Linked DNA regions of Canis lupus familiaris. The protein of the gene in region 1 interacts with the protein of each later gene in a pairwise test. Links are inferred from orthologs where the notes say so. Each region holds a gene or a part of one and is shown on either strand. Other genes may lie near its edges. The genes, in order: HAX1 and IL1A.

Region 1 (15,991 bases):
AACCGCGAGGTGGAGCTGTGAGCTGTGTCGGAGCACTCTGGGTGAGTCTGGATTTAACCTGGAGAAATCCTGGCCTGCCTCACTCCTTGGAGCTGCTTCTCTCACTGAGCAAGATGCACCCTAATCCTTGGTGGGGAGGATTATAAGCTCTCTGGACTTGGAATGGCCCCATTCTCAGAACATTAGATTTAAGGTTTAGTTGGACCAGATTCAAGAATTTTAAGAGGTAGGTGATTGATAACATAAGAGAGTGGCAAACCTCATTCTGGAAATCTTAGTTTCTTATCTCCCTTAAGATTTCAGAAATCTACTGTAACAGTTTTTTGAGCACCCCCAGTTCCCAACCCCACAGAGGGCTCTTGTCATCCCATTCCGCATCAACCTCTAAATTCATTTATTTTTATGTATTTGATTCCTTTTAGGAAGAAAATATCCACCCCCTTACAAGCATTTCTGGACGGCAGAGAGCTAATTTGGCCCAAGGCTGGGGGCTATGTTTTGTGTGTGTGTATAAATTTGCACTGAAGTCTTGTTTCAGAAACCAGACCACTGAGGAGAGCCTGCTGAGCTGAGGCCATGGCCTGCGTGGCTTGGGGAAATGAGTTGGTGGATACCTTCTGGGCTTTGAACTTGCCCTTCCCCCATTTCCCTCTCCCCCATGTGTCTGACCCTGTCTTACCCATTTCGAGTTCAAGCGGTGCAGCACCTCCGAAGCATCAATGCACACACCTGCTGTTGCTTTTGATTCTGGAAGGCATGTAGTTTCAACTTGTAACAAAATATTTGTAGTCTTCAATAAACTGTGGTATTTCTTTAGCTAACTCTGGCGTTCTTTCCGTGCATGTCTTTCTGGACACTAGGAGCCAATGTTGTGCTGTGGATGAAAGGGGGGGCGGGGGGGGCTTTTCAATCAAATCCCAGCATAGCCAAAGAACTATTAACTTCTCGTCATGGTGATTTTATGAAGGGGGGCGAGGGGCAGCAGCCTGTTTCCAACCCTTTGATTGATCAGTAAAGAAAGCTATTTGTAGAAAATCCCTGATTCTCCCTGCTTATTACAGCTCTTCACTTTTCCACTCAGCTCTTTCCCTGGTCTCTGACGTGAGCAGAGGGAAAGGACAGAAACCGCTTGGAGTGTCCTGTCATGGTGAAAGGCAGAAGAGGTGGTTTTCAGAGCTGGTTTAGGGAAGTGGCTTCCAAGGGCCTTGGCCAGGTGGCTGGTTGAGATCTGATGAAGTCTTTAGTGACCAGCTAGTTGATGACTCAGGCTGTGTACACTGTGCTAGCCTGCAACATCGTTCTTATTCTTTATCCCTTGGTAGGCTTTTCAGGGATTGTGGAGTACTCGTGGTTTTGCACTTGTGGGTGTAGCTAAGGATGCGTGGGAGACGTTTGCTTAGACGACTCCTTGACTATGGAAATTCTTATCCTCACTCAGTCTAATTACTAGTACACCTCACCCCTTTGTTGACAGTTACCTTGTAGGCTGAGAACACCACCCTTTGTTCATTGGAAACCCAGATACCCCATTCCCCTAGAGGCTGCCATGCTGGGAGACGTTAGTTCTCGTTTCTCCTCCACTGTCCACATCATGTCAGTGTGGTCTTCACTGCTTGGGAGTGGGGGATAGATGAGATGTTGACTGTTGGAAGGAAAGCTCTAGTCTGATGAGCTTTCTCATAACTGGTGAAGGGTAAGTGGGGAAGCTGACAGCTATTCCATTAGTGCTCACACTCAGGCTGTTAGGGCTGCTACACTGTCGTCTCATCCTGCATCTCTAGTCCCTTTAACCACCCAGACTACAGCCTCAGGCCTAGAAGCTGGATGTTAACTAGTCCAGACTCTGGAAAGAATGAAACCGGGGTGGGGGGCACTCCAGAACTAAACTCCTCCCTGCTACCCAGCTCTAGAAACCAGTAGGCCTTTTCTCCCATCCAGTGTGGTGGGGTGACCCTGGGTGTCTGCAGGGTGTTTGAACTTTTGTGTCTTTGATTTCCTTCAAAAACGTTATTTGTATCCTGTCTGTACTGCCTCACTCTCAGCCCTTCCACACAGACCTTCCCAGTGGCCTAGTCTTTTCCATAAATGAACTGTTCTTAATGCCTATCACCCATTAAGAGGGAAGGGGAAGATCTACCCCATCGGTCCCTGGGTCGACCCCTTTTATTTCAGGGCCTTTGAAGTGATGGGGCCGTATTTCTCAGGCTGTTTCCATAGTTCTGTTCTTTTTCTTGGCTCCTCCACCAAACCATCTAGACTTGTGCTATGAAAGAAAGATCCTGCAGCGGCTATCCAAAGGGGGCTTAACTTTTTGAAGGCTGCCTTTGTCCTAGGCATTGGGGGGATTGGGGTTCTGGAGTTTGAAGGGGGAACTGCTATTGAGTTATGGGGGAATTTGTGATTTGGTCAGTTTATAGACAGTGCTTCTAAAATACTCTTCCATCAAAGTGCCCCTCCCAGCCGGAGAGAAGGATCAAGGACACAGGCTGAAATGCAGTTTTTCTGGTTTCATTTTATCTCCTGTGATGAGACTGAATGTTTCCTTAAAAGTGTGCTTTAAATTCCAAATTAAATGGAGTTATTTTTCCTCAAATCTTGGCATAAAATCTCTCTAGTAAGATGCTGGATTATTTTATCTGATTACTTTTTCCTGTCTCCCTGACCCATGGCCCCATACCTGAGAGTAGTTATATGTATTTCAGTTTAGGGAGTAGAAATTAAAATGAGGAATGGTACTGCTTTAGTTTCCTTTAGGTGGTGGTAGTGGTAGGAGGGAGTTCACCAGGAAATGTGCAGGTTGGTGGGAGTATGGATCAGAGCCCGTGTCTAATGGAGAAGCTCAAGTTGTAAACAACGAGGATGTCAGGTTTTGTGTTCCACATAGACTGTAGGAGATAGCCTACCCCCACTGCCTTCCTAACCCCCTCCCTTCCCCATGCTTAGGCTTAAATTAGTTAGCTGGAAGTGCACCTTTGCATCAGCTCGTTAAGTCAGAAGTACATAGCCGAGAAGAGCCAAGACTGGAGCAGCCGGGCCAGGGAAGCTGAGACTCCCAAGAACAGACCACGCTCTTGGGGCTGGACTGGATTGCTCCTTGAGCACTTTTCTTATGCTGTGAAAGCACAGATCCTGAGCCCAAAGGTCTCTTCTGAACAGGAAGAGCCCAGATTACCTATCTTAGGAGCAGGACTGGGTGGAGTCTGGGTGGGTTGATTTGAAATGGACATTAAAATTTTATTACATTTCTTTTCAGCTTTGGCACAAAAGTGTTTTGAAAACTATATGCTAGTGAGATTTGGCTATATCCACTTGCCCCACAAAAAGTAGCTCAGCTCACTTTCTCACATACATTCTCAGTACATAACCTGGAAAGGACAAGAGATTTGGGTCATGAGCTCTCATCTCTCTCGGTGCTGACCTGAGCTGGAAAAACAGACCAGAGTCCCCTTGCAGTGTGGTAACTAGAAAGGCCGCACACGCCATCTCCTTGTCTAGAGAGGGGCCAGCAGCGAGCCCAGCTAATCCTCCTGTCTGTTTCCTCCTCCCCCAGGTGTATCAGTCACCTCCAGTAACACGGGCGTGCCAGATATCTCGGGTTCTGTGTACTCCAAAACCCAGGTAGGTGCCTAGAAGTGGAAAGAGATGGGCATAGAGGAGGTGGTGTTGCAGTGACAGAAGTCCAGTGAACAAGCACGACCCCAAGAGGTGTAGGAAACCTGTCCTCGAAGATGAGTGGTCTCTAGATTTCAGTTTCTCAAAGAACTTTAAATTTAGCTCTCTGAGAAAGGCAAGAGAAGTGTGCCAGGAAGGTAAGGCGTGGCAGGTGGCTGTGATGTGTCTTGAGACTTACTGTGGCAACTGTCCTTTCTTTCCATACCACCAGCCTTTTTGCAACTTTCCAAGAGAATGGAATGAAGGGAAACTAGTTCCGTTCTTTGTAAAAACAAAAGGTGGGAACGGAAGAGTGCATCTGAACTATTAAGCCTGATACATGCAGTGTTCGGAGTTATGGTGGAGCACTTGGTGACCGAGACCTTTGCCACCAGGATGCCCGAGCTGCACGGTGGGGGTGGTTTGTGATGGTAGAGTCCCAGAGCACGCTCACAGCTGTCCTCTCCTGCTGTGCTGACAGCTGGGAGTCAGCACCCCTGGGTTATGTGTGAGCAAAGATCAGAATGAGTGAGTACTTCTCTCAGGATCCCACAGCCCTTGGAGAACAGAGCAGACCCGCTCACGTGCCTTTAGTGCTGCTGTTCTGCTGCATACTGCTCTTGGGGGGTGGGGGACTTGGGCTCTGAAACTCCAGGGCTTGGTTTGCTGACCCCTTTTACTGTCTCTCCCCATCCCTCTGGATAGCAGTCCTTTGAGAAACAAGGTTTTCATTCCGGTACTCCTGCTGCCTCCTTCAACTTGCCTTCAGCCCTAGGAAGTGGGGGGCCCATCAATCCGGCCACAGCTGCTGCCTACCCACCTGCCCCCTTTATGCACATTCTGACCCCCCATCAGCAGCCGCACTCCCAGATCCTCCACCATCACCTGCAGCAGGATGGCCAGGTAATAGCCCTCCCCCTCTCCTCTCCCTTCCTCTTCCTTCCTGTCCCCTACAACTGCCTCCCTTTCCTTCTCTTACCCTTCCTCACAACCACCTTCACCTACCCCTCCCAGCGCCAGCCATGGGCACACAGCACATACACACACAAGTGCACATAACACCAGCTGCCGGCAGAGGAGATGTCAGAGAAGGGGCCAGGCTGAAATTTCCTTTGGGGCCTTTCTCTTCTGCCTCCTATAACACAGCTGCCTCATCCCATCAGACCTGGGTCACGCCTCCCCTCCAACCTCTCCCAGCCTCCCCCATTCCCTGACATTGTAGCTTTCCCTTCTAATGGTGGAGTTCTATTGTCAAAGTTTGTCCCTTTATTTTCCATATATCCTGGTTCTGCCTCAGCTACCATATTTGCAGATGATTCTCTGTTGCCAGCGCCAGCAGGAGGAGCAGGTAATGAAACTGAATGATGATGTGCTTGAACCCACTCCTTTCCAGCCCCCATTTCACCTCCACAGCGTCAGGGAACTTGGAAAGGCTGCACGGTCACAGATCAGGACACACAAACACAGACACCTCGCTGAGCTCTCTGGCCTCCCATTCCTCTCTTGTCCTCCCTCCCCAGCGCCCTCTTTCTTTCTGCCCTTCCCTGACTCTGGAAGCACTTGGTTACTGGAATGGAAAGGATTCTTGGGGCAGCCTCTGGAGCCTGGGGCCTCAGACTGTCTCTCCTACCTCACCTGCAGTGGGCTCTCAGCTGTGCTCTGTGGTAGGGGTGGGGAGCTTGGGGTGGTACAAGTGACCTCTCCTCCATCACAGGTGGCTGAGGAGCTGGGATAAGACAGCTTTCCAAATTGAGGTATTCATGGGATTGATGAAAATGAAATCTCCGTGTGATCACTCCTCTCCAAGAGGCTGTGATTCTCTCTAGAGAGAGAGAGCCTTTTCTCAGAGCAGTGTAGGTGGGAGTGGAGGGAGAAAGTGGAATTGAAAGTGGGGAGAACTCATTCACTGTCTTGTCTCCAAAAGGTATTCTGCCGTCTTTATGTTGTTCCCCTGTTCAAAGCTTGAAAATGCTCTCTTCCATGTCACAGGTCCTCTAGCACCTATAGAAACCAAATTTTCTGTGGTGGGGAAGTAAACTTCAGAGTCATTTCTAAGCAAGGGGAGTGGGAGAGCAAGACAGTTTCCAGAGCTCTACCTGCAGATGTCACAGATTTGTCCCACTAACCAGACACCTTTTTCCTCCTCCTCATCATCCCATTCCCTGCAGACGGGCAGCGGGCAACGTAGCCAGACCAGCTCCATCCCGCAGAAGCCCCAGACCAACAAGTCTGCCTACAACAGCTACAGCTGGGGGGCTAACTGAGGCCTGACCCCCCTCCTGCCCGGCAACCACGGAAACGGCATCAGAGAGAGAGGAAGGGGGGGTTCCGCTGCCCCTACCTCCAGTGTCCCACCCTATGCCTCAGCTTCATGTCTGTCCCGTCCCCATACCACCCCTACTCTGTTGTATGTATTATAGGATTTGTATTTTCTCCTTTTTTTTCCCCCTTTCCTCTCCTCCTCCCCCCTTGCATTCAAGATTATGAAACTTTGCTGTGGGCCCCGCCTTCCTTCTCCTCCTGTTCACCCTGGTGGTGTATAGGTGAGGTGGGGCAGGGGGACCCCCAAATATATATCAGCCCAACAGCCCTACGTCTCCTCCTTTATTATTAGGAAACAAAACAACAACAAAATGGCGTCATGAATATGAACAGCATTGTCAGATGAATTAGTTGAAGTGTTTTTTTTTTGTACTGTGTCCTCGAATTTAATGGATTAATGTGTCTTGTATATATAAAAAGAAAACCTCTACCTTCAGCCTCTGCCCGTTCTTGCTCATTCTAAGACAGTCTGGTCAGCCAGCTCGGTGAATGAATATTCCGTTCCAGCTGGGCCCCTGGCAGGCTCTGGAGGCCCCAGAATAAAGAGAGCTTCTGCCTTCACCTGCCCTGCTGGGATTCCCTCTCCTCCTTCCCCAGGGGCTTCACAGCCTAGAAGGAGCTGCTGCAAATTTTCATTTCCTCCAGAAGCTGCTTCCTCTGCAGATTTCAGGCTGTGACAGGAATGGACAGCAGACACAGGGTAGAAAGCTGGAGAGTGGGTTTGGGGAGCGGTCGTGTACTGTAGATGGTCCAGGACAATGGTGGGGGGGCATGCAGTTCCTGCTTCTTGAGTGCTGCCGGCCCCTTGAAAAGGAGGGGTCAGGAGACCAGGGCCGGGGTGCAGGGAGGGTGGGGGCGCAGGAAAGGAAAGGCTTGAAAGTCAGGGGGCAGGCAGAGGGTTACTTACAGCTCCAAACTCCTCCCCCGGCAAAGCTTACGGGATTTCCCCGGCTCTCTTGCCAAGCCTGTGCCTGCAGGCTGCAGAGCCTGCCTAGGGCAGCTAGTATCGGTCACGGTCACCGCATGCCCGTTGGCCGGGGAGCGCCAAGTCCGAGCATCCCCAACCGACCCGTGGATTCAAACGCCGAGCCTGGAGCACCTGCCGCACCGGCTCGCTGGGCGGAGGCTGCCCCCTGGCGGCGGCGGCCGGTCCCGGGCAGGAAGGCGGCTTAGGGTTCCGGGCCCTCGCCCGCTCCCTTCGCGGGCAGGGGGTGCGGCTCGGGACCGGGCGGCGCCCCGCGCCGCCTGCGCCGAGCAGACGGTCGTGTTACGACAGCGTGCCGCGCCGCCTGCCTGCTTTCCGGCAGGCGGCCCGACGCTGCTCTCAACTTCCGGCGGCGGAGTGCAGCTGCGGCCAGGTGCGAATGGGCCTCGGTGGGGTCTGCAGGTTCGAGTCCCAAAACGGGGATGAGCTTCTTTGATCTCTTTCGGGGCTTTTTCGGCCTTTCTGGACCTCGGAGGTTAGAGTGGGTCGGGGTCGGACGAGGGTGGGGTCTCCTGAGGGGAGCTTGATCTCTGACACCCAGTTCTTGGGAAGCCGTCCTCTTCGTCACTCCTTCACCAGCTGCGGAGAGGACAGAAGTCAGCACACTGCGCACTCGCCCCGCGGCGGTCACCTGGGCGGCCGCTGAGAGGAGGACTAACCGCAGTTTAAGCCTTTCTCCAGTCTGGGGTGATGCAACAGGGGCCTGGGCGGGAGAAACAGTGGGGGCCGGGCGGGGGTGGGGCGCGGGGGGCGGGGGCACGGCCTGCCCGCGAGGTGAGGACCGACCCTGACACAGACGGAACCCCGACGGCGCCCCGCCAGCCTCACTCCCGCACCTCGGTGCGCAGACCTCTGCCCTTGGCTCCTCGGCCACCCGGAGCTGATTGTGCGGCCGAAGGTGTGGCTGAGATTCTGGTGCTCAATCTACCTTCACTCCCAGCCACAGAGATCCCTTTTTTGGAGGGATGACTCGAGATGAAGATGAGGACGATGAGGAAGAGGAGGAAGAAGCAGCCCCGTGGAGCCATGGGAGCTCGAGGTCTGAGGGTCCCCAGACCCCGGAGGAATTTGGCTTTGGCTTCACCTTCACTCCAGGAGGGATGCGTTTCCATGATAACTTCGGCTTTGATGACCTGATTCGTGATTTTAATAACATCTTCAGCGAGATGGAGGCCTGGACCTTGCCTTCCCGGCCTTCTGGTGTGTGGCTGCCCCTGGAGCACCTCTGGTTTCTCCTGGGTTAGTGGGTGAAGCCAGGAGCCTGAAGAGAGTAGTGGGGGTGGGAAGTGTGAGAAGAATGATAATATCAAGGCTGTGAGGAGCCCAGGTCCTCTCCCCCCCCCAGCATCCATCTGCCCCCTTTTCCCAGAACTTCCAGGTCCTGGTCCTGAATCAGAGACACCTGGTGAGAGACGACGGGAGGGACAGACACTTCGGGACTCAATGCTTAAGTATCCAGATAGTCACCAGCCCAGGATCTTTGGGGGGGTCTTGGAGAGTGATACAAGAAGTGAATCCTCCAAACCAGCACCAGACTGGGGCTCCCAGAGACCTTTTGGTCTGGTGAGTGCTTCTGGGCCCCAAGTGAGAGCCTGCAGGAGGTAACTAATAAAGCACAGACTGGAGCTTGTCAGAATCTAGCAAAGTTGGGTTGGGATCCTAGGTTCTCCACTGTCTAGTGTATTTATCTGTTTTCTCTATTAAGCTCCTTGTAGGATTGGGCGGAGGGGGCGCATGAGGGTGGGAGTTCAGCTTTTTTCTCTATTTTTTTTTATGACTTTTTAAAAAAAGGTTTATTTTATTTATTTATTCCTGAGAGAGAGATAGAGGCAGAGACACAGGCAGACGGAGAAGAAGGCTCCATGCAGGGAGCCCGATGCGGGACTTGATCCTGGATCTCCAGGATCACGCCCCGGGCTGAAGGCGGCGCTAAACCGCTGAGCCACCCGGGCTGCCATATAACTTTTTTTAAAGATTTTATTCATTTATTCATGAGAGACAGAGAGAGAGAAGCAGAGACACAGGCAGAGGGAGAAGCAGGCTCCATGCAGGGACGTGATCCCAGAGTCCTGAGATCCAGCCCCACATTGGGCTCCCTGCTCTGTGGGGAGTCTGTTTCTCCCTTTCCCTCAGCCCCTCCTGTACTCCCTGTCTCTCTCAAATGCGTAAAACCTTAAAAAAAAATCACCAGTCTGTATGATTCTGGGACAAGACGGATTGTTGGATAGGATAGAGTGTCAGTTGAGGAGAGCCTTTTGGTGGAAAGATAGATTGAACGGGTAGGACAGAGAAAGGGGTGAGTAAATAAAGCTATCCTGAGTGGAATCCTCTGTCCCAGGGGAAAAGTAGTTACGGAACTTAGGAATATTTTGGATTCTGTGACCTCTCAAGTTTCAGATTGAAAGGTATCATTTCACCTATTTTGCCTTCTACAGTTTGATGATATGTGGCCTGTGACCCCCCGTTCTAGAGCCAGAGAAGACAATGGTGAGTCTGGAGGGAGGGGACATTTAACGTACCCTTTGTTCTCTCTCCCTTACATTTCTTCTTGTCACACTTGGCCCCTTCTTTTCCTTTGGACTTTTGATTTCGTGTTTCCTCTCTGCCCTTCTAGATCTTGATTCGCAGGTTTCCCAGGAAGGCCTCGGCCCAGTTCTGCAGCCCCAGCCCAAATCCTATTTCAAGAGTGTCACGGTGACTAAGATCACTAAGCCAGATGGGGTGAGTTGGAAGAGGAGTAAAGGGAAATGTGGCCAGAGGATGCCATGGAAGAGCAATCTATATAAAGAAACCAGTGAGCTCACTTCTATTGATCTTAGAGATATGGTTGGGGTCTCTCCTTGTAGACAGTAGAGGAGCGCCGGACTGTGGTGGATAGTGAGGGCCGGACAGAGACCACAGTAACCCATCAAGAAGCAGATGGCAGTCCTAGAGATGGTAAGTAAAGTTTGTGAATCAAAAAGGTCCATCTCTTATTTCCTTGGGCAAAAAACACACATACTTTTTCAGCCTTTGATATTCTTCTCCTTGTCCACTGCCCATTCTTTTTCATTTAGTGTGTCTGTATGTATCACTTTCTCCTTAGATCCAGAATCACCAACACCTCCAGCCCTGGATGATGCCTATTCCATCCTGGATTTATTTCTAGGACGTTGGTTCCGGTCCCGGTAGCCTTGTTAACCCTCAGAGGCCTTCAGATCCTTTCCACCCTTCGCTCACTGTCAGTGGGCTTAGCTTCTCCTGCCACCTCAGGGTCTTGGGTGTATGGAACAGTGAGTTGGGGGTATGTCAGTATGTGACTCACCTAAACTGACCAATAAAACCTTTATTTATGCTAACTCCTTGGTCTTAGTTTTGTCTAGGCTGTTCTTCCCCCCCCCCCCCTTTTTTTTAAAGGCCTCCCAAGCTCTCTCCAGTCGGCGGGACCCGCCTGCTGCGCGGGGTGAGTGGAGGCTCTTCTACTTTGTAGTACCATCCAGGGCTTCCCAGATTATTTTGGCCCACAGTATTCTTACTTCTTAATTTTTTGTTCTGCTTCCCAACCCTGATTTGATAATCAGGTTAATTTGGTCAGGATAATCAGGATAATTTGGTCAGGTACTGGTAGAAAATGAGTATTCTTATGGAGGAGATACCTAGAGACAATTCCAGGAAAATTTACACAGGGATGCATTAGAGTCTAACAAGCGGAAGTGTGTGTGGAAATGTAGGGACACCTGCTTCCCCAGGTGTGGGATCACTATGATCGGACATTTCACGAGGTAATTTGATGAAATACATTGGCAAATATTTTTTCCTTTAGTGGGTATGTATTCCCCCCCCCGCCCCGCCCCATGTATGTTGGAGAAAATATAACTAGGACAAACGTTGCTAGATTTTTTTTTTCTCATTAAAGAAATTCTTAAGAGCACCTAGGTGGCTCAGTCGGTTGAGCATCCAACTTTTGGTTTCAGCTCAGGTCATGATCTCAGTCATGAGACTGAGCCCTGCATCAGGCTCCATGCTGAGCTCGAGTCTGCTTGTCCATCTCCTTCCCACTCTTTTTTTTTCCTTCCCACTCTTTCCCCACTCTACCCCCCTGCTCAGTCTCTCTCTCTCTTTCTCAAATAATAAACCTTTAAACAAAAACAAAACTTTAGCACTGTGGTTTATAGTGGCAGATCTTAAACATTTGTTTACCTCTGTTTTCTTGAAATTTCACTAAAATGACAATAAAGGGATTTTTCTAAGGAAGCAAATCATAAGAACAAAGAGATATAATCATGAAATTTTGTCTTTTCTCTTTATTATATCTTTATGTGAACAGAAGTTGATTTATTACCCAAGAAGTTGTTTATATTTCTCTTTATAGTTAGTGCTCTTTATATCTTAGGAATATCCCCAACCCAAGGTTAAAAAAATATTTCTTTATCCTCTACAAGTTTTATTAGTTCTGCTTTTTATATTTAGGTTTTTATTTATTTATTATTTTAAAAAGATTTTATGTATTTATTCATGAAAGACAGGCTCCCTGTGGGGAGCCCAATGCAGGATTTGATGCCAGGACTCTGGGATCATGCCCTGAGCTGGAGGCAGATGCTCAACCACTGAGCCACCCAGGTATCCCTACATTTAAGTTTTTAAATCCATCAAGAATTTATCTTCCTATGGGGTATGAACCACAGAACCAGGATGCCTCGGCAGCTCAGCAATTGAGTGTCTGCCTTTGGCTCAGGGCATGATCCCAGGGTCCTGGGATTGAGTCCCATATTGAGCTCCCTGCATGGAGCCTGCTTCTCCCTCTGCCTATGTCTCTGCCTGTTTCTCTCTGTGTCTCATGAATAAATAAATGGAATCTAAAAAAAAAAAAAAAAAAAAGAAACATGGGACCAACTTCATTTTATTCTATTTGGGAAAATACATATGCATATGTATGTACAGATATGAATATATTTTGTACACACACAAATACACATGGTTCCCTGTGCTGGGCCTTTCTGTCTGTCCTGTTAATCTATTTGTCTCTGTGCCTACTCACATTTTAAAATTGCAGACTTGTATTTAGTAGAACATGTCCTCTGACTTTTTTCTCCTTTTAGTATGTAAGGATACAATTTCTTAATTAATTAATTAATTAATTAATTAGAAAAAGCACACGTGGGCAGCCCCGGTGGCTTAGTGGTTTAGCGCCGCCTTCAGACCCGGGTTTGAGTCCCACGTCGGGCTCCCTGCATGGAGGCTGCTTCTCCATCTGCCTGTGTCTCTGCCTCTCTCTCTCTCTCTCTCTGTCTCTGTCTCTAATAGGTGAATAAAATCTTAAAAAAAAAAAAAAAAAAAGTTTGAAAAAGCACATGTATGAGTGGGGGCGGGGGGCAGAGGGAGAGAGAATCTCAACCAGACTCTGCTGAGCATAGAGCCCAGCTCTATCCCACAGCCCTGAGATCATGACCTGAGCCGAAGCCAAGAGTTGGATTCTGAACTCACTGAGCCACCCAGGCACCCTTACAATTGATTTTTCTTTTAGGATTTTATTTATTTATTCATGAGAGACACAAAGAGGCAGAGACACAGGCAGAGGGAGAAGCAGGCACCACGCAGGGAGCCCAATGCGGAACTCGATCCTGGGTCTCCAGGATTTTATGCCTTGGGCCAAAGGCGGTGCTAAACCGCTGGGCCACCGGGGTTGCCCACAATTGATTTTTCTAATCAGCTTTTCAGAGTACCACTTTAAACACATGGAGCTGGAGATGACCAGACATTTGTGGATAGCCTCCAGCATGAACAGTGGACTCAGACAAGAGAAGCGACTTGGGAGAAACATACCTGCAGAAAGATGATTTAGCAAGGGCACGTTTTAATGTCCTTAGAAATATAAGATGATACATCCATAAAGAAGGTATTCTTGCAAAAGAGGAATAAACAAAATAAGAATGAACTTTGAGGAGTTTAAAAAAATGTGATGGCAGAAATGAAAAACTGTAAAAAGATTTTATTTTATTTTAATTAAGAAAAAAATTTTTTTATTTATTCCTGAGATAGAGGCAGAGACACAGGCAGAGGGAGGAGCAGGCTCCATGTAGTGAGCCCGACGTGGGACTTGAACCTGGGTCTCCAGGATCAGGCCCTGGGCTGAAGGCAGCGCTAAACCGCTGAGCTACCAGGGCTGCCCTTATTTTAATTTTTTTTAAAGATTTTATTTTCTATTTTTTATTTTTTAATTTTATTTTAAAGATTTTACAGGGCTGCCCCTGTATAAAGATTTTAATGACAAAGGTGAGGAAATCTCTAGAAAGACCAAGTGATAGAGATAGAAAACAGGAAAAAAGTACACCTGAAACTAATAGAATGTTTACATGTTGACTATGTTTCATAAAAATTTTTTTAGAAAAGGAAAAAAAGAGGGGGACGCTTGGGTGGCTCAGCGATTGAGCGCTTCCCTTTGGCTCAGGGTGTAATACCAGGGTCCTGGGATTGAGTCCTGCATCAGGCTCCCCTGAGGGAGCCTGCTTCTCCCTCTGTGTCTCTCTCTGCACCTCTCTTTGTGTCTCTCGTGAATAAGTAAAATCTTAGAAAAAGAAAAAAACGATAAGAAAACTAACAATGGGGCAGCCCCAGTGGTGCAGCGGTTTGGCGCCGCCTGTAGCCTGGGGTGTGATCCTGGAGACCAGGGATCGAGGCCCGCGTCGGGCTCCCTGCATGGAGCCTGCTTCTCCCTTGCCTGTGTCTCTGCCTCTCTGTATGTCTATGAATAAATAAATAAAATCTTTAAAAAAAAAAAAAAAGAAAAACTAACAATGTAAACCATCAATGAAATAAACCAAGAAAATATCCCAGAAGTGGAGAGTTTTACTTCTTTTTAAAAATTTTTAAAGGCAGAGACACAGGCAGAGGGAGAAGCAGGCTCCATGCAGGGAGCCCGATGTGGGACTCCATCCCAGGTCTCCAGGATCAGGCCCTGGGCTGAAGGTGGCGCTAAACCACTGAGCCACCGGGGCTGCCCGAGAATTTTACTTCTAACCTGAAAGACCCGCTACATGCTAAATAGCAAGGAAAAAAATAAACCCACACTACTTCAGAACACTAGAGACAAAGGAAAATCAAAATGATTTGAGAGAAGGTTCAGAGGAATCGGGATTCAGGATTCTTAGTTGCATCTACCCAGATGTCCCTATCTCAAGTGTCAGGATCCTACCCTTTTTCTTTCAGGACCCTACCCTTGACACAGGAAACCTACTGGGGCTGAGAATTGCACTTTCTCTAAAACTCTGCTACTCATACACTTCACATCTGAGCTGGTCCTCCACTCTAATGCTCACTGGTTGCAAGAGGTTAGGCTTTCCTGAAATGCTGTCAAGGGAGCCCAGTGGCTTTTGCGGTCTGCCTTTGCTTGGTGATGGGTTTTGCAGAACCCAGTGACCATTTCCCTCAGCCTCTTCTTCAGTGCTGGAGATACTGCACAAGTGCATGTCCTTCCAACCAGTCACCGCTTCCAGCTGCCCACTGCTGGCCGTTTTAATCATTGCATTATTTCAAGCTAGAGACGATCCATATTCTACCTACTACCATGATAGAGTTCTTGTCAACCAGCCCGTGAGTGATCGCCCAAATTCCGTTCTAGATTTTGTGGAACCACTCCTGACACCAACTCTTAAATTGGGTTCCCTGGGAAAAGACAAAGATGAAAAGAGACATGAGCAAGGTTTCTTGGGGGTGCTAGCACTCTCTGGGGATACAAATGCTAGGAAGTTGAAGGCAGGATGAGGCAGAGTGGGGACTGACACAAGGAAGTTGCAAGAGAAGCCTCAGCTAATGCTAAGGGGACTTTGAAGCTAGAGTGACCCTTCAGGGTTGTTCTGTATTGAGGCAAAGAGGCCAGGTCGTTGTATCCCTGCATCAACCAGTTGTTGACATGAACCCTATAGGAGAGCATGTCACCTTGGGTGAAGCCATCTTAAGCCATGGAAGGTAGTACCACGAGGGAAACAGGTGTGTGCTCTCAGCATCTGATATTCCCAGCAGCTGGGAAATGGGTGCATTGCCCCTGAATGGGCACCTGCGTGTAGAGCATTCTGATATCCACTAAACCCAGTAAAGAACTACTGCGTACAGATATGCCCACTATTGCATTAGAACCTGGGGCTTATGGGGCCCACCTCTCAAGAACCTTGTAAACTATATATAGTATCTTCATGTGTATGTTTCCACCTACCAGAAGAACATGCTCTATGGGAGAACACACACTGTATTTTGCTCACCCTGCTCCCCAGGTCTGGAATTTGACTCATAGTTGAATGAAGCTAATTGGAGGCTTGTGATAAGAAGTAGGAAGTGGTGGCTCTGTGTTATGCAGAATCAGGGTGGCAAGCATCCAGAGAAGGGGGGGGTGGGGCTCCCTGTGGGCAAAAAGTGCTCCTTTAGCCATGGCAGGGGACACAAAGCTGTAGCACTTTCTAACCAAGGTGAGCTCTGCACGAGGGAAGTGCAAGTGTTCACCGAGTGGATTTCATTTCTGCAGCTTCTGGTCGTTGGCCCAGCTTCTCTGGATGACTGTGGAACTTTGTAAGCATCCAAATGGAAGAAACACTTCGCATTCCACATGAAAAGCATTGTGCAATAGGGGATGGAGAGTCAGAAGATCTGGATTTGAATTCAGGCTTAGCCCTTAAGTAGCTGTGTGGCCTTGGAGAGTCCTGAGGGTCTCCAGTCCCTCATGAGCAGAGTGGGAGGAGTGGTGCTTCCTTCCAGGGTGGTCGAGGCCACCTGCATTGATGCAGGACACTTCCTCCTGCCCATCAGCACAGGAAGAATGACAATGGCAGACAAAGTACACAGAGCCCGGGCAAACTCCAGGCTCTGGTCGTGCACCAAGCTTGTCCTTGGACATTCTCCCATCATCTCTATGTCCTTAGCCTACACACGTGTACAGATACTGCTGTTCAAGAGCTGAGGTAATTGGTTTTAAAGTCTGTTCCTTATCTGGCAGGCACTACTCGTGTGCCTATGCAGACGGAGGGAGCAGCAGCCAGAGACAGGGTGTCCTCACCATGGCCTACA
Region 2 (15,739 bases), on another chromosome or scaffold:
ATATGATTTCCACCTGGGATGTTAACAGTTTATTATTGGCCTTTTTATTTTCACAACTAAATATATCTTTATACCTGGGATCAGAATTTGGCCAAAATGAAAGCATCTGATTAGGTTTTTAATTCACTTGATTTGAAAATCATCTCTCAGAGAGTAGAGAATATGATAAGAGGAATACTAATCTAGACACAATTCTGTCTAAGAAGGAATTGATTATATGAAAGAAGAAATTTGAGATAAAGTGCATGTCACCTTGGAGTTTGTGATGGAGAAGGGAAAGATAGTTATACACAGTAGTAATCAGAATAGATTAGGTTATACTGCATAGTATACAGAATAGATTAGGTTAAACTCTGAAATCTCAGTGACGTCACACAAACATTTGTTTCTCAGGGCATCTGGGTGGCTCAGTCAATTAAGTGTCTGCTTTTGGCTCAGGACCCTGGGATTGAGCCCCACTTTGGGCTCCCTCTCTGCGGGAAGCCTGCTTTTCCCTCTCCCTCTGCCGGCCACTCCCCCTTCTTGTTCAATCTCTCTCTCTCTCTCTCTATCAAATAAATAAATAAAATCTTTTAAAATAAATAAAGATTTCTCACTCATGCAAAGATAAATGCAGATTGTTCTAGTCTCATACATCTGCAACCATACCTCATCCATTTGTAGCCATACCATCTGGAATACGTGACTTCCAAAATTGCTGCATCAGAGGAAGCTGGAGATGACGGAAGCATACAGTGGCCCTCAATTGCATAAGCCTAGAAGTATAACATATCACGTATCACTTCCTGCTCACGCTTTGGCCAGAAGGAACCATATATCCCTTACCCATGCAAGGGAGACTAGGAAATGAAGACAGACATTTATCAAGTAATCCTACAAATGGATTTTTGGTAAGGAGAATCTACCACATATACATTCCCTAGATTTCAGAGGAGCAAATATTGAAATGCTCAGAGTATCCCATTTGTATAAAAACAAAGCTATATATGCCTTAAAAAAGGAACAAATGAAAGAAAATACACCAAGGTAGTAATATTGAATACCTCTAGTTATTTGTTTGTGGATTTTATTTTCTTTTTATATTTTTTATATTTCCCTAGCAATATTTAATAATCATGTTTTAGAATCCAGAAAAGTAATCCAAGTTTTTTATTAATTGTGAAACAAGTTCAGACCAGAGACAACTATGATTCCATGAGGAAAATGACTCAAAAGAAACGGGAATTTCTCTAAAATGCTCTTCTGATTAGGCAATCACAATTAGCCAACAAGAAGAAAAATGAGAGACAGGTATAGACATGACTGTGGTCACACAGAACCTCCCTAATGAACTCTGATTTTAAGTGCATCTGTAAAAGACAGAAAGACAGTGTACCAAGGGAGAAGGCAAGGGAGTACACTTAAATTGATGAGCACTGAGAAATATATTGAATTGTAGAATCATTATATCATATACCTGAAACTAATATAACATGGTGTATTAGTTATACCTCAATAGAAAATTAAAAAAAAAAAAAAAAAAAAAAAGAATGGGTCTAAATGAAACTTGAAATCAACTCAGGGGGCAGCCCAGGTGGCTCAGTGGTTTAGCGCCTGCCTTCAGCCCAGGGCATGATCCTGGAGACCGGGAATCGAGTCCCACATTGGGCTCCTTGCATGGAGCCTGTTTCTCCCTCTGCCTGTGTCTCTGCCTCTCTCTCTCTCATGAATAAATAAATAAAATCTTTTTAAATTTTTTTAAAAGAATAAAGAAAAGGAAGAGGTTATACTAAGAAAAAGAGCCCAGTAGTTTCTTGAGTCTTAGGCTCTGGTATCTGAATCCCATTTCAGCAATTTGGTAACCTCAAAATCTTAGACAGATTGGTTAATCTCCCTGGACTTTGACTTCCTCTTCTATAAAATGTGATAAGAATACCTACCTCACAAGGTTGATGAGAAGATTAAATGAGAAAATGTATTATAACACCTGGAAGACTATGTTAGATCCTTTCCTCCTTCCCACTAACCGTCACAGAATTTAAAAGCAGGTTACAATTAAATAGGATGAGATGAGACAAAAGGCTCAATTGTCTCTGTATGTAATGGTTTATGCACACTTCATTCCTCTGAAGAGGACTTCTACAACCTGAAAACAAATAATTACATCCCCTGAAAAATTCATAGTGAAGAGTTATGTTTACTTTTTCATTCAAGCAATGCTGTAGATCCAACTACATGCAATGATTTTAAAGTTGGTTCCAAAGATCTTCTCTTGTCTTCATGGTACAATGGCAAGAGTATGGCTAAAGTCTGTATCCAGACTCCACCACTGACCATGCACTTAACTACATTGACCACCTCCATCCTTTTCCTGTATGTCACAGAACAAAATGAGATTTCATTGATGGAGGAGGAGAGAGGGAGGGGGGATATTTCAAATCATTTCTTTTTTCATCTTTTCTTTTAAACAACAACAACAAAAAAAATCCTAGAATCAATGACAGGGTGTTTGAGGCTGACAAGACCTTCAAAAATGATCTCTTTCAGCCCCATCACATGGCATTTGGTGGAGGCAAGAGACTTGAGCACCTAAATGCACTAGAAAGTCAAGATTGGACTTGGAACAGAAACCCGAAGTTAGAGGGCTGGCTCTGCCACTTTTGTGACAACCATCCACTTAACCTCTTCAAGGCCCCTCAGATGTGAAAAGAGATAGCAACTACCTCTGTGGGTTAAGTGTGGAGCCAGTGAGACAATACAAGTGAGAGCTCTTTGTGAAGTATAAAGCAGTTTTCAAATGAAAAGCACCACCATGATTCTTTATACCTACAACTTCCAGGCTAATAAAGTGTATCCACTTACCTACCAAAATATATCATCTCATCTTGTATCTAATTTGGTGAATCCTGAAAGAAAAATGCTTATGTCTAACAAAAACTCTGGCACAGAATAAGTACACAATAAACTTTTTTTTTCTATATGATCTGGTGGAAATTGACTAACAGTTACTGAAGCCTCCTCAGAGTCAAGAGATGGGTATTTGAACCCCCAAGGACCTCCTGGGCTCCAACAGAGCTCTACCTAGCATGTTTCTCTCTCCATTCCCTAGGTAGAGATGGTCTAGTGATGAGACTTACTTACAAGTCAGTATAGGTACATACATACAGAAAAGTAGGTTCCCCCAAAGTGAGAACTCCCACTCTCTAAACCTCATCCATGTTGTTCCCTTTAAAAGCCAATTTTCAAAAAGGTCATATGAAGGAAAAAGTTTAGTGAAATCTCAGCCTAAGTTGGCTATCTAGAAAAAATTCCAACTGTCCTTGAGAAAGTCAATAACCATATTTGGGGAATTCCAATTCTCTACATGAGGGACATAGGCCAGGATGGGTGTAACCACTAAAGGTAGGACCAAGGATGTTTTCCTGGATTACCAAACAGGTGCTATACATTCCTTCCAGGAACTAAATATCTTCAGGGTTTCAAGGGAGGCCTTCACCTGAAAATGTCCTCCTTGTTAAAATTTTCAAAGCAATGTTTTCATAAGAACTATATATTCTTCAGTGAAGTAAGGTGTTACAATAATGACTATATAGGTTCCCAAGTGACAGAAGCTATCATTAGCATTGTTATTATTTTTGTTTAGTTGCATCTCCATAGCAGCCCACATTCATAGTGTAGTTTGCAATTATTTCTTGGTAATAGCCCTCACAAGATCTCCAGGATGCAGAAGGAACAACCAGGATTAATATCTGTATTGCCTGAAGGAGAACCACAGACATAGAAAATTGGCTACCATCACCATTCAAACAAGGATCCTTCCAGAGACACGCAAGATCTGTCCCAATCTGGTCCTAAATTTACATTGCCTACATCTAGGATACATTATTTCTGTGGCTCTTGTTTATAACTATTGTGACCAGGTCTATGAACAAGAGGATCTGGACTGGCTAATAGCATCAGAATCAGAGATTTTGCACTTAGGCTAGACCTTAAAGAACATCTAACCAACCCCTACTTGTTGTTTTTGTTTTTGTTTTTTAATTTTTATTTATTTATGATAATCACAGAGAGAGAGAGAGAGAGAGAGAGAGAGAGGCAGCGACATAGGCAGAGGGAGAAGCAGGCTCCATGCACCGGGAGCCTGACGTGGGATTCGATCCCGGGTCTCCAGGATCACACCCTGGGCCAAAGGCAGGCGCTAAACCGCTGCACCACCCAGGGATCCCCCTACTTGCTGTTAAATAAGACTAGAGAAAATACTCTACCCAACTCACACAGCCACTTTACTCCCAGTTCTGAGCAGTTTTGCCTTTTTATACCATGTTACACTGCAGTGCCTCACCTTTCTCTCTTTACCTTTTTATTCCTCTCCTCTACCCTCTTTTTCCATCCATTTTCTTTATCTAACATTTACATGGCTTAGCAGCACCTGAGTGGCTCAGTTGGCTAGGCATCTGCCTTTGGCTCAAGTCATGATCCCAGGGTTTTGGGATGGAGTCCTGCATCAGTCACCCTGCTCAGAGGGGAGTCTGCTTCTCCTCCCTCTGCCATTTATGCTCCCTGGATATCTCTGTCAAATAAATAAGTAAAATCTTTTTAAAAATTTTTTTCTTTTTACATGGCTTAAAGTCCAATCAGGAAACCTTCAACATTTATCTGCCAAGAGTCTGACGTGGTACCACCTGAACTGGGCCAGCCTCAAGATGCCAATAAAATCTTTGATAATAACAGCCAGGCAACACTGATGTAGTGCCTATATAAAAGTCCCTCCCCTTCCCTCAACCTCTATTCTCAAATCCAGCTACCAGCTTTTGGCCAGGGCTTGCCCATATTTCCCTGAGTCTGCAGCTATCCTCACACACCTTAGGTTTATTCTAGAAAAGACCAGACTTCCTTTGGGTCCTGATAGAGAGCCACTTTGCTATAACATGGCCAGAGCAGAGAGTTCTCTCCTAAAGCCCTGTCACTTCTGTAGGAAATGGGTTAACAATATTCAGAGGAGTAAGAGGACTAAGACTTCTTATAGTTATCATTTCTCTCCCCTACCCTGCCCTAACCAGGAGGTTGTCTCCCCATTCTCAGAGTGATTTATGCCTATTCAAGCAAATCTCCCTCTTCAGAAAAGATAGATCATCTTCCCTCATAGCCAATCCTTTACTGCCAGGGGCTGCCAAGCATTCCATCAATCCATACTCAGTGCTGGGGTACAAAAAACAAATTAAGCTAAAACATAAACTACAGTTCCTAAGTTCCTGTCTAATTCCAACCACCTAGAATTCTGATTTTAGGAGTTCTCTCTTCCTCGCCACCACTATGTTTTTAGAAACTTAAATTTCCTGTCCTTCTTCCCTTTTTCTAAGACTACATGTTTATAATTGTTTAGAGCAAAGCCAGATAAATGAGCCAAGTTAGGAAGTCCTGGAATCTCTGTAAACAACACTATTATCAAGTATGTAATCTGTCGTTATTTGGCCAGTTTCCAGTTAAAGGAAGATAAAAAAAAAAAAAATACAATTCTTCCCTGTAAATTCCCCTGTGACGCACACAGACCACGCCTACTCCAAGAAGACAAAAGGCGAAGTAGTCTGACTAGGGCTAAGTATCCAGGCAGAGAGGGAGTCGCTTCATTGTCTCCTGAGTCAGCAAAGGTATTGTCCTGATCACATCTCTGACTTTTAAAATATATTTTGCTTTTCTCCTTGGCCATTGTCTCTCAAACTGCCTTCTCTGAAGTTCAAGCCTTTTCCTTCCTTTCTTGTCTGTGCCTGGTTTGGTGTGTGAGTTATAATCACGGTCAGATTTCAGAAAATAATTCTTTCTACTGATGAGGAACTGAGGAACAGAAGAACTGGTTTCATATAAAGGCATTGTGGGTGCAGCCGAGCCTTCCCTTGGAAGGAGGCTCTACTACCAAAATTACTAAGAGAAAACTAGAAATTTCCAAATCTGTCTCTCTCTTACATCTATGTAAGGCAAATACCTCATTCTTGTAGGTTTTTTCTTTAATTTATCCAGGCATTCATTGGATGCCTACTGTGTACAATGCACTGGGTTGAGCACATAGAGAATATCAAAGCTTTAAAAGAAGTTTGCAATCTAGGAGAGGAGGCAGATACATATGCAGATAACACAAGGGAGTGCAAAGAAGAATGGGGAAAATGCTGAGTGTGGGCTAAGTCATTCATTAAGCTTCTCAAGAAGCACAAAGCAGTGGTGATTCCGCTTGCAGGTATTTGGTTCAGTGGCTGGCTAAGCTGACAGCCACTCATGTTCTCTGTTGCAGAAATCAAGATGGCCAAAGTTCCTGACCTCTTTGAAGACCTGAAGAACTGTTACAGGTAGGAAATCAGTTCTATCTCTTGCAATTTAATGAGGAGATCAAGGTACATGATAATCTACCTAGTATTACAGTAACTAGCATGGAGCCAGACTGGCAGAAGCATAAATAGAGATGTGTCCTACCTCTGAAGTCAGGACAGATTCAGCAAAGATCCAGAAAGAGTAAGCTTCTAGCATGCTACACTGAGATGACACTGACAGGGAGATAGCCATTTTAGAAAAAATTATTTTTTTTGAAAAACTATTTTTACTGTCTCCTAAGAACTAATGAATTTCAACATCTACTTAGACACAGCCTCAGTCAGGTTCACATGCTCTGATATTGTAACGGGTTTTAATGGACTGTCAGAGAGAGAAATCATTCTCAGGAAAACTTCTGGATCTCAGTCTGGAATAGGTAATGGCTCCATAGCAATTTGAGCATGTGAATGCACACACACAGTCAAAACTCATTCAGACATAAGGGTAAATGAATAAAATGTTAAATTATAGGATACTTTAAACAAACAAGGTATTCCCATTATCTATTAGTATATACTAACACAAACCAAGCTATCAAAATGTTGCCTGGATAGTTCCCAAGTGTACATTATTACATCTGTTTAAGTGAATACATGAAAGTAGTGTATAACACATGACCTACTTGGTTAACATTATTTAAAAATTTTAATGCTTCAAAAGCATTTTCCTCTTGAGGAGGTTAACATTTTTCCTTGAAATTCAACTACAACCCTTCAATTTGTTAGCCAAGCCCCATTTTTAGAGATAAAGCACAGGTACAGTTCAGTGACAATTACTGATGATTACTAATTCCAAATTAGTGAGGCACAATTACAGCACATATGTATGTATACGTATAGAAATCCTTAATTTTCAAAGATGGCAGTAATGACCGTGTGTGTTACCAAAGCTAATGTGGTCATTAAAACAACTGCAGAGATGTAACAAACAGAATTACATTCTCATTATCTTGTTTGACAGTGAAAATGAAGAATACAGTTCTGAAATTGACCATCTCTCTCTGAATCAGGTAAGTAAATGACTGCAATTCTTATGGGGTTACTATTCTTATGCAGTATTTTCTCTACCAGGAGAAAACAGCAATAGCTTGAATCCTAGAAGCTTTTGTTTCGCCCTCACTAGAGGTTCAGAGACAAATATTTCTTCATTATAAGTGAGACCAACTGCCTCTCTACACTAATTGTTGATGACATTCTCCATGCTCAACAGATTTTCCAAGGGAAAGGTGGGAGGGGAGGAGAAAAAGAGGACGAGGGAAGGAGGGAAGGAGAGAGGGAAAGGGGAGAAGATTGATGGAATAGAGATCCTTTTCACTAAATCTATTAGATAAAACTTCTGCTGAAAGTGATCTCTTCCTATGACCACATATAGCCCTTCAGTTTCTATTTTCCTTCCTCATAGAAATCCTTCTATGATATGAGCTGTGACCCACTTCATGAGGACTGCATGTCTCTGAGTACCTCTGAAATCTCAAAGACATCCCAGCTTACCTTCAAGGAAAATGTGGTAGTGGTGGCAGCCAATGGGAAGATTCTAAAGAAGAGACGGTTGAGTTTAAGTCAATTCATCACCGATGATGACCTGGAAGACATTGCCAATGACACAGAAGAAGGTAAGAGGTCAAGTACAAATAATATCTTTGTTTTCCATTCTTAAGCAAACAGAGCTAGCAGAAAATAAAACCTAGAATAAGAGTAATAAGGGGGCAACCAGACATCAGTCTAGTAACCACAAGGAAGGAAAATTAATTTTTGTCCTTCTCCAGTGGGAAGAGAGCAGCAGTGAGTAGCCTGAGCCTACAGAATACTTCCTCATGGGTGCATTTTGTGGCCATATTGTAAAGGTCATGTGCCTTTTATCCTTGTGACAGAAAGCAGTTACATACTACTCATAAGCTATGTTTCTCCAGATAATAACTATGCTCCTTTGTAAGTTACTTAACCTTTCTATACTTCAGTTTCCTCTACTGTAAAATGGAGATAATCAGGGCCCCACTTGTGAAGATGAAATGAATCTATACTTGCAAGCTCCTGGACTAGAATGATGCCTGGAACATAAATACCCAATAAACATTAGATTTTGTTATTCCTCCTTATCTTCCTCCTCCTACTACTACTCCCATTACTACTACTACCTTTCTTACTACTACCAACATTGCTAATTTATTACTGGCTATATTATCCCTACACTTCACAACAATCTAATATTCTCATTTTACATAGGAGGAAACTAAAACTAAGCTCAGTTAGAGAAGTCACATAGTGTATAAGCAGAAGAGGTTTAAACCAAATTCAGTTCTGATTTTAACAGTCAGGATTATTCTCCCATGCTTCTACTGTATAAGCCTCTACATGAAACATAAATAGGTTTTAAATAATAGCTTTTTTTAAAGATTTTATTTATTTATTCATGAGAGACACAGAGAGAGAGGCAGAGACACAGGCAGAGGGAGAAGCAGGCTCCATACAGGGAGCCTGATGTGGGACTCGATCCCGGGTCTCCAGGATCACGCCCTGGGCCAAAGGCGGCGCTAAACCACTGAGCCACCCGGGCTGCCCAATAATAGCTTTTTAAAGTAACAGGTAAACACTGATACACAGTCACCTAGAAAATAGGAAGATGAAAGAAAATGCAAAAGAAAATAAAAATTATTCATACTACCACTAAGAGTTTGCCACTGCCAGCACTATGGTATGTCCTTAAAGTCTTTTCCATGCACATACACACATATAAACAAATATTATGAGGATTATATTATATACAATCTTATATTCAGCTTTTTTTCACTTAGCAATATACCAAGGGCATTCTAGAGTACCAATTTTTCAACATTATAAATATATAACAATTAATATCCATATTATATCCTTATTTTTATCACTATTTCCTTAGAATAGATTCCTAGTCATAAAATTACTCAGAACCATGAGGATTTGTGAAGTTGTTGATTTATACCACTGTTCAGAAAGAGGGGTAGACATTTAGACTTATATCCTCAGTAACAAATATAAGTCTTAATATATTCATTTTTTTCCTTAGAGTGTATTCATCTGAAAAATGTAGATGTGAATGTTAGCAGTCTTCCTGTTTTCTTAGAAACCTCCAAACAACCAAAATGAGAATATTTAACAAATAATCTTTTTTTAAAAAATTACTGCCTAAGGAATTGAAGTTTAAAAAGAAATAAGTAGCCACAAAGATAATCCTAGAAACTATTTCTGCTGACTGGGTAACTTCACTTCTTTCTCAATTTTTTCACCCGGATTGAAATATTCCTAATGTCCCTTCCATAGCTAATTTTGATACTTGTATTAGAGCAGATATATTACCTGTGTTTGTTCATAGACATTAATCTGAGCTTGTGATAATGGTTTTAGTAATCATGAAGCCCAGATCAGTAGCATACAACTTCCATAACAATGAAAAATACAACTATATAAGGATCATCAAATCCCAATTCATCCTGAATGACAACCTCAATCAAAGTATAGTTCGACAAACAGGAGGAAATTACCTCATGACTGCTGCATTACAGAATTTGGATGATGCAGGTAAATGTACAGCTCTGTCATTCTCCCATCCTCTTATTTCTGTATTTCTTTCTAACTTTTTGCTTTCAAAATATAAACCTCTCTAGATTCCTAGCTTTGCACAATTCTTAGGATGGCTATTTGTCGAATCTCTTATAATTACATTAGTGGGATAAGACCCTTCAACTTGTAAGCTCATGCGTTTATAATAACCTAAAATGGAGGGGTTTAGGGAAGCTGATACACTCATGTTGCTAGTTGCTAGTGCTGGTGAAAACTAGTTGCTTTCCTTAGAGAACAGTGCTTAATAAGAACTATATGATTATTTATTCCTAGGAACCAGGAGTTCCATTTTTGGGGTATGCACCAAAGAAATAACCTCATTGGGAAAAATTATATATACAAAGATATTTGCAGTATAGTTACTGCAGTAGGATGCAGTATAGTTCAGTATAATTACTGAATTGGATGAAGCACAACATCCCCAGTAAAATCCTAGGCAAGGATGGGAGCTTCAGCCAAATCAGGAAGCTATACAAGAGAGAAGTTTCCTATCTTTGAGAGCACCGAATATAAAGCTTTCTGATGAAGTAGCTCCTTTGATTCTCTCAGACACTCTTATCTTTGGTTTTAAAGATGAAGAAACTGACTCTCAGGAATATTAAATGACTTATTCAAATTTACCCAGAAGCCAATAGGAGCAATCATTCCCCATTAGAAAGCCTGCTGCTCAAACCTACAAGTATCATCAAACTGAAAAGAATCATCATCTTTGATAACACAGTTGTGAAGCAAAACACCCAATAAGCTGACAATATGTTCTGGAGGATGAAATTTAGTATCCAAGAAATTTTGTCACACAAATCCAATCTTCATGGTGTATGTATTTTAGCTTCAGGACATGCCCTCAGTATACAAAATTATTTTCAGAACTCCAAAGAGACTACTTTGCAAAAAACAAACAGGGCTTTTTCTGATTGGACATACTTCAGATAATATGCTTTCTACTCCTTGACATTTACAAATTATTTTGTGCTGTATTTTCCTACTTAATATAATTTCACATAATTTCCTCACGTATTGAAATAGCATACATATTTGCCATTTTTTTAAAGATTTTATTCATTTGAAAGAGAGAGAACAAGTGATGGGGAGGGGCAGAGGGAGAGAAAGAGAAAAGCAAATTCCCTGCTGAGCAGAAAGCTCCATGAGGGGCTCAATCCCAGGACCTAGAGATCATGACCTGAGCAGAAGGCAGACACTTAACTAACTGAGCCACCCAGGCATTTTAATGGCACTAGAATATTCAATCATGTTGCTATTTGGGTGCCTTGGGTTTGCTCTAAGTAACTATACTGCAAATATCTTTGTATATATAATTTTTCCCTATGAGGTTATTTCTTTGGAGCATACCCCAAAAACGGAACTCCTGGTTCCTAGGAATAAATAATCATATAGTTCTTATTAAGCACTGTTCTCTAAGGAAAGCAACTAGTTTTCACTAGCACTAGCAACATGAGTATATCAGCTTCCCTAAACCCCTCCATTTTAGGTTATTATAAACTCATGAGCTCATAAGTTGAAGGGTCTTATCCCACTAATGTAATTATAAGAGATTCAACAAATAGCCAGCCCCCAGGCATTCATTCAACACAGAAAATTCTAAAGACATTAACCAAGTATTTACCTGCCTAGTAAATGTAGCAGACATTGTGAAGGATACAAAGATGTGTGGAATTCCATTCTGGTGTTTACACCATAGTTGGAGACCTAACTACAAACACACATACACACAATCTACATAACACTTGATTTCATTCAAATAACAATGGATTTACTTCCTTTTTGACTTTTCTCTTTGCCAGTGAAGTTTGACATGGGAGCTTACACATCAGAAGATTCTAAACTTCCTGTGACTCTAAGAATATCAAAAACTCGACTCTTTGTGAGTGCCCAAAATGAAGATGAACCTGTATTGCTAAAGGTCAGTGGTTCTCAGTCTCCAATTTACCTTCATTTACATCCCATGTTTGTGAATGATTCCAATAGGCAGATACCCCTAGCAGGGTGGCACAGTCCTTTTCCCTTCCTAACACAGTTTCTACCTGCCCACCTGCCCCCGCATGCTACTTCTCACCTATCCCCAGAGGCACTTCTAGGCAGGATCTATGAGAAAGTAAAATGGAGGTGGCAAGAGTGAATAAAAGGTAAATTGCCTTCTTCCTTCTTTTTCCTTACCCTGCCTGACCCTAGTCACCTTCCAACCCAGGGCATCCATCTTACTAACATCTACCATCTGACCTATGTGATGGTAGACATTAGGACAATGGGGCCTTCTTCCAAAAAACTCAAATAAGCCAACTAGGAGCAGAGAGTGTTAATCACTTGTCAATGGGCACAAAGCAAAAAAAAAAAAACGAGCCAAGACTCAAACCCTGGCCTTTTGACTCTATTACCTCTCTCTTCATTGGTGTCAGCATTATCCCTCATCCCAGCCCCATCTCCACTACCACCTTCCCCTCAAACATATAGACACCTAAACACACCCACTGTAGCTTTAGATGCTCACTCCACTGATAAATAGGTGACTCTTATTTAGTAAATGTATAATGCAAACCCCCAAATCCAACCAGGATTTTTGTAGGTGCATGTATTTCTCTACCTGGATCAACTGAGGTAAAAGTAATCTCTACAGACTAGGGCAGTAGCTCCATTCATGAATTCATTCAACAGGCATTATTTATTGAGAGCCTTCTATTTTTCAAACATAGTGCCAACAACTATGTAGACCATGGTAAGCCAAAGTCCCTAGCCTTATAGAACTTGGTCTTCTTGAGGACACAGACAGTAGACAAGCCAAACAACTAGCAAAAAATACAAGATGCCATAAAGCAAATGAACAGGGTGCTGAGATAAAGAAAAATGGGAGAGTGCTCTTTACATACAGTGGCAAGAGCAGAGCTCCCTGTGAAATGGGATCTGATGATAGGAAGGAGCATGACATGGAAGGGGATGAGTGAGGGTTAGCATTCCAAACAGAGGGATCTGAGCATATCTAGGACCTAGAGCTTCAAGAGTTTAAAGCCAGCTTCAGAAATCAGAAGGAACACTCTAGAACCAGGGCACTGTAAGAAGGAGGAAAGATAAGCAGAGGCTATTGTTTGCAGAGCCTTGCATTTAGGTTTCCTTTGAGGTACAATGAAAAACCATGAAAGGGTTTCAAACAGGGAAGTGTCCTGACTTCACTTATATTTTCTAAAATGGAGAATAGGTTGGCAGGAAGACATTGGAGAAAGCACAGAGCTCAATTAGGAGATAATAATAATAGTCATGGGAGTTGGGGTAGTGAGACAGATCGAAATAAGTAGACAGAACTGGTGATGTTTTAGAGATAGAACCAACAGGGTGTGAAGAAAATACATTTACTGAGTTGGGAAAAAACTAGGAGAGGAATGGGTTTGTGAAATAAATTTTTGTTGACATTAAAAACCCCAGGAACCCTTAAGAAGTTTCTCTAAATTAAAAAGAACACAGTAGAAGCATCTCAAGTTGAAATTTGAATTTCACTTTTCCATTAAAGTATTGTTATTCCATTCATACTCTCAAGAATAATACAGCCTAAAGAGATCACAATTGTCAAAAATTATATTGAGAAGAGCCAGTTGCTGATATACCTGGAAGTGTATGTGTGTGTTTGGGATTTTTTAAAACTTTTAATTGCTGGCTTAAACATGGAGATAAACATCTCTAATAATAAATTATTTTCCCAAAGATATGATCTGCACACTTAGAGGTCAAAATGTTTAGAGGTCTCAATTGCTAATGCTCAGATTTTATGCAAAATGTCTTATCCTCATGTTGAAGGCAGGACAAGAACAGTGTCTTACTCTACCTGCCAGGATACAGTGAGACACTAGTGTCATTGGCAATCTTCATGACTAATTTGGATTTCTCTCCAGTTAAGTAAGGAAATTAACTATTATGTGTAGACTGGGCCACACATCTAATAGTCATGTAATAAATGCTTGCTGAATGAACAAATGAATGAAGAATCTATATCATTATATTTCAGAGTCAGAGTCCTAAAGAGCTATATTTCTCACAAAGTCCAGATGTCAAGGGATTGCATTTCAGTTCTTTGTCTAGAATCTTGTTCTCTAACATACCTCTGCTGTCCTTATCATAGGAGATGCCTGAGACACCCAAAACTATCAGAGATGAGACAAACCTTCTTTTCTTTTGGGAGCGTCATGGCAGTAAGCACTACTTCAAATCAGTTGCCCAGCCCAAGTTGTTCATTGCCACACAGGAACGAAAACTGGTGCACATGGCAAGAGGGCAACCCTCTATCACTGACTTTCGGTTACTGGAAACCCAGCCTTGACTCTGGAGTCTATAACTTGTGATGTGTTGACAGTCCACGTGTACTATGTACATGGAGGAGTCCAATCCTTTACTCATAGTCACTTGCTGAGAATGTGCTGAGCCTTTGTAATTCCAAATGAATGTTTACTCTCTTTGTAAGAGAGTGAGCAAGGTCTAATGGAACCGACACTAACATATAATATTGTTTGTTATTTAAAGAACACCCTATACTTTGCAAACTACCAATTAGTTTCATTATTACTCTTGATAACAATCTTGGGAAGACCAGGGCTACTGACTATGGCTACTGAAAAGATTCTACCCATATTACAGATGGGTTAAGTAACTGAGGCATTAGAAAACTAAATATGCACAACAGGAGTTGGAATGAGAAGTCATAGGCCCAGAATTTCGTTCTAACAGCTTGCCTTTAAGTTGCTGATGGACTCCTAATCAAATACTGTAAGTTTCTGGGACCTCAGTTTGATCATCTTCAAAATGGAAGGGAAGATATCCTTTCTGCTTCAACAGAATTTTATGCCAATCAGTGAGATCAGTCTAGTAAAATGCTTCTTGAATGAAATACTGAGCCTCAAGAAAGGAAAGCATGAATATATATTTTTACTATTTATGTATACATATATATTTTTAAATATACTTAAGCTAAAAAAAATAAATATATATATATTTAAGGTAATTATAACATATTATTATATTTATGTCAATTCCTTGCATTCTCTGTTACTGGTCGTCCTTAACAATAGTAAAGAGTGTTTTTTAGGCTAAATGAGTTTGATTTAGTAACACTAAGGCACTTTGGTCTGAGTTCTGCTTTTTGTAGTACCTAGAAGCCCTATAATTGTGATAATAAATTATATTAATACGTTGTGCTGATAATTAACCAATCTTTCACTCTTCTACTTTTAAATTGCTTAAGCATTCTTGTTTCATTCAATTTCACCTGCTATCAAGTTTTACTAGCTAAAATGGGATAAACAACTTTGGTAACTATGAGACAACTGTAAATCTAAACTTTCTTCTCTGGAATGTAAACAATGTTCCAAGGTTCTAAAAGTTGTGATCAAACTACAGTATTATATTACTAACAACAATAACAATTAATACATTATTATAAGTCATAATAAAACTTACTAAAAGAAGTAAATCTGACACACATGTATTGTCTTAATCATTAATGTGTGGTAATTAGGAACAAATTATAAAACCTCACATAAATAACTGTAATTAGTGTTACTTTAGAAAACCAAAACAAGGTTGTATGGTTTTTCTCTATCCTTTATTAGCTTGCCAATATGCATAAATGATATTAAGAATAAGGGGAGGGCACCTGGGTGGCTCAGTCAGTTAAGCATCTGCCTTTGGCTTGGGTCATGATCCCAGAGTCCTAGGATCAAGTCCTGTGTTGGGCTCCCTACTCAGCAGGGGAATCTGCCTCTCCTTCTCCCTTTCCCCCTGCTTGTGATCTCTCTCTCTCTCACTCTCTC

What was found.
Region 2: the proteins of HAX1 (region 1) and IL1A interact in binary tests that used the Homo sapiens proteins (3 or more experiments, as listed by UniProt). The link is inferred for Canis lupus familiaris from reciprocal best matches to the Homo sapiens genes HAX1 and IL1A.

The regions. Positions count from the first base shown.
Region 1 is NC_049228.1:42,950,632-42,966,622, reverse strand, and holds HAX1 (HCLS1-associated protein X-1), read left to right. Parts: upstream 1-7,272; 5' UTR 7,273-7,380; coding exon 7,381-7,433; intron 7,434-7,499; exon of another isoform or gene 7,500-7,645; intron 7,646-7,898; coding exon 7,899-8,197; intron 8,198-8,327; coding exon 8,328-8,521; intron 8,522-9,393; coding exon 9,394-9,445; intron 9,446-9,572; coding exon 9,573-9,679; intron 9,680-9,804; coding exon 9,805-9,895; intron 9,896-10,043; coding exon 10,044-10,129; 3' UTR 10,130-10,296; downstream 10,297-15,991. Other genes in the region: UBAP2L (ubiquitin-associated protein 2-like), read left to right, coding at 3,551-3,618, 4,357-4,554, 4,949-4,999, 5,820-5,915; AQP10 (aquaporin-10), read left to right, coding at 15,982-15,991. UniProt on the Homo sapiens protein: Recruits the Arp2/3 complex to the cell cortex and regulates reorganization of the cortical actin cytoskeleton via its interaction with KCNC3 and the Arp2/3 complex. Slows down the rate of inactivation of KCNC3 channels. Promotes GNA13-mediated cell migration.
Region 2 is NC_049238.1:37,150,799-37,166,537, reverse strand, and holds IL1A (interleukin-1 alpha), read left to right. Parts: upstream 1-5,547; 5' UTR 5,548-5,627; intron 5,628-6,262; 5' UTR 6,263-6,270; coding exon 6,271-6,317; intron 6,318-7,299; coding exon 7,300-7,348; intron 7,349-7,740; coding exon 7,741-7,951; intron 7,952-9,716; coding exon 9,717-9,890; intron 9,891-11,734; coding exon 11,735-11,853; intron 11,854-14,055; coding exon 14,056-14,253; 3' UTR 14,254-14,412; downstream 14,413-15,739. UniProt on the Homo sapiens protein: Cytokine constitutively present intracellularly in nearly all resting non-hematopoietic cells that plays an important role in inflammation and bridges the innate and adaptive immune systems.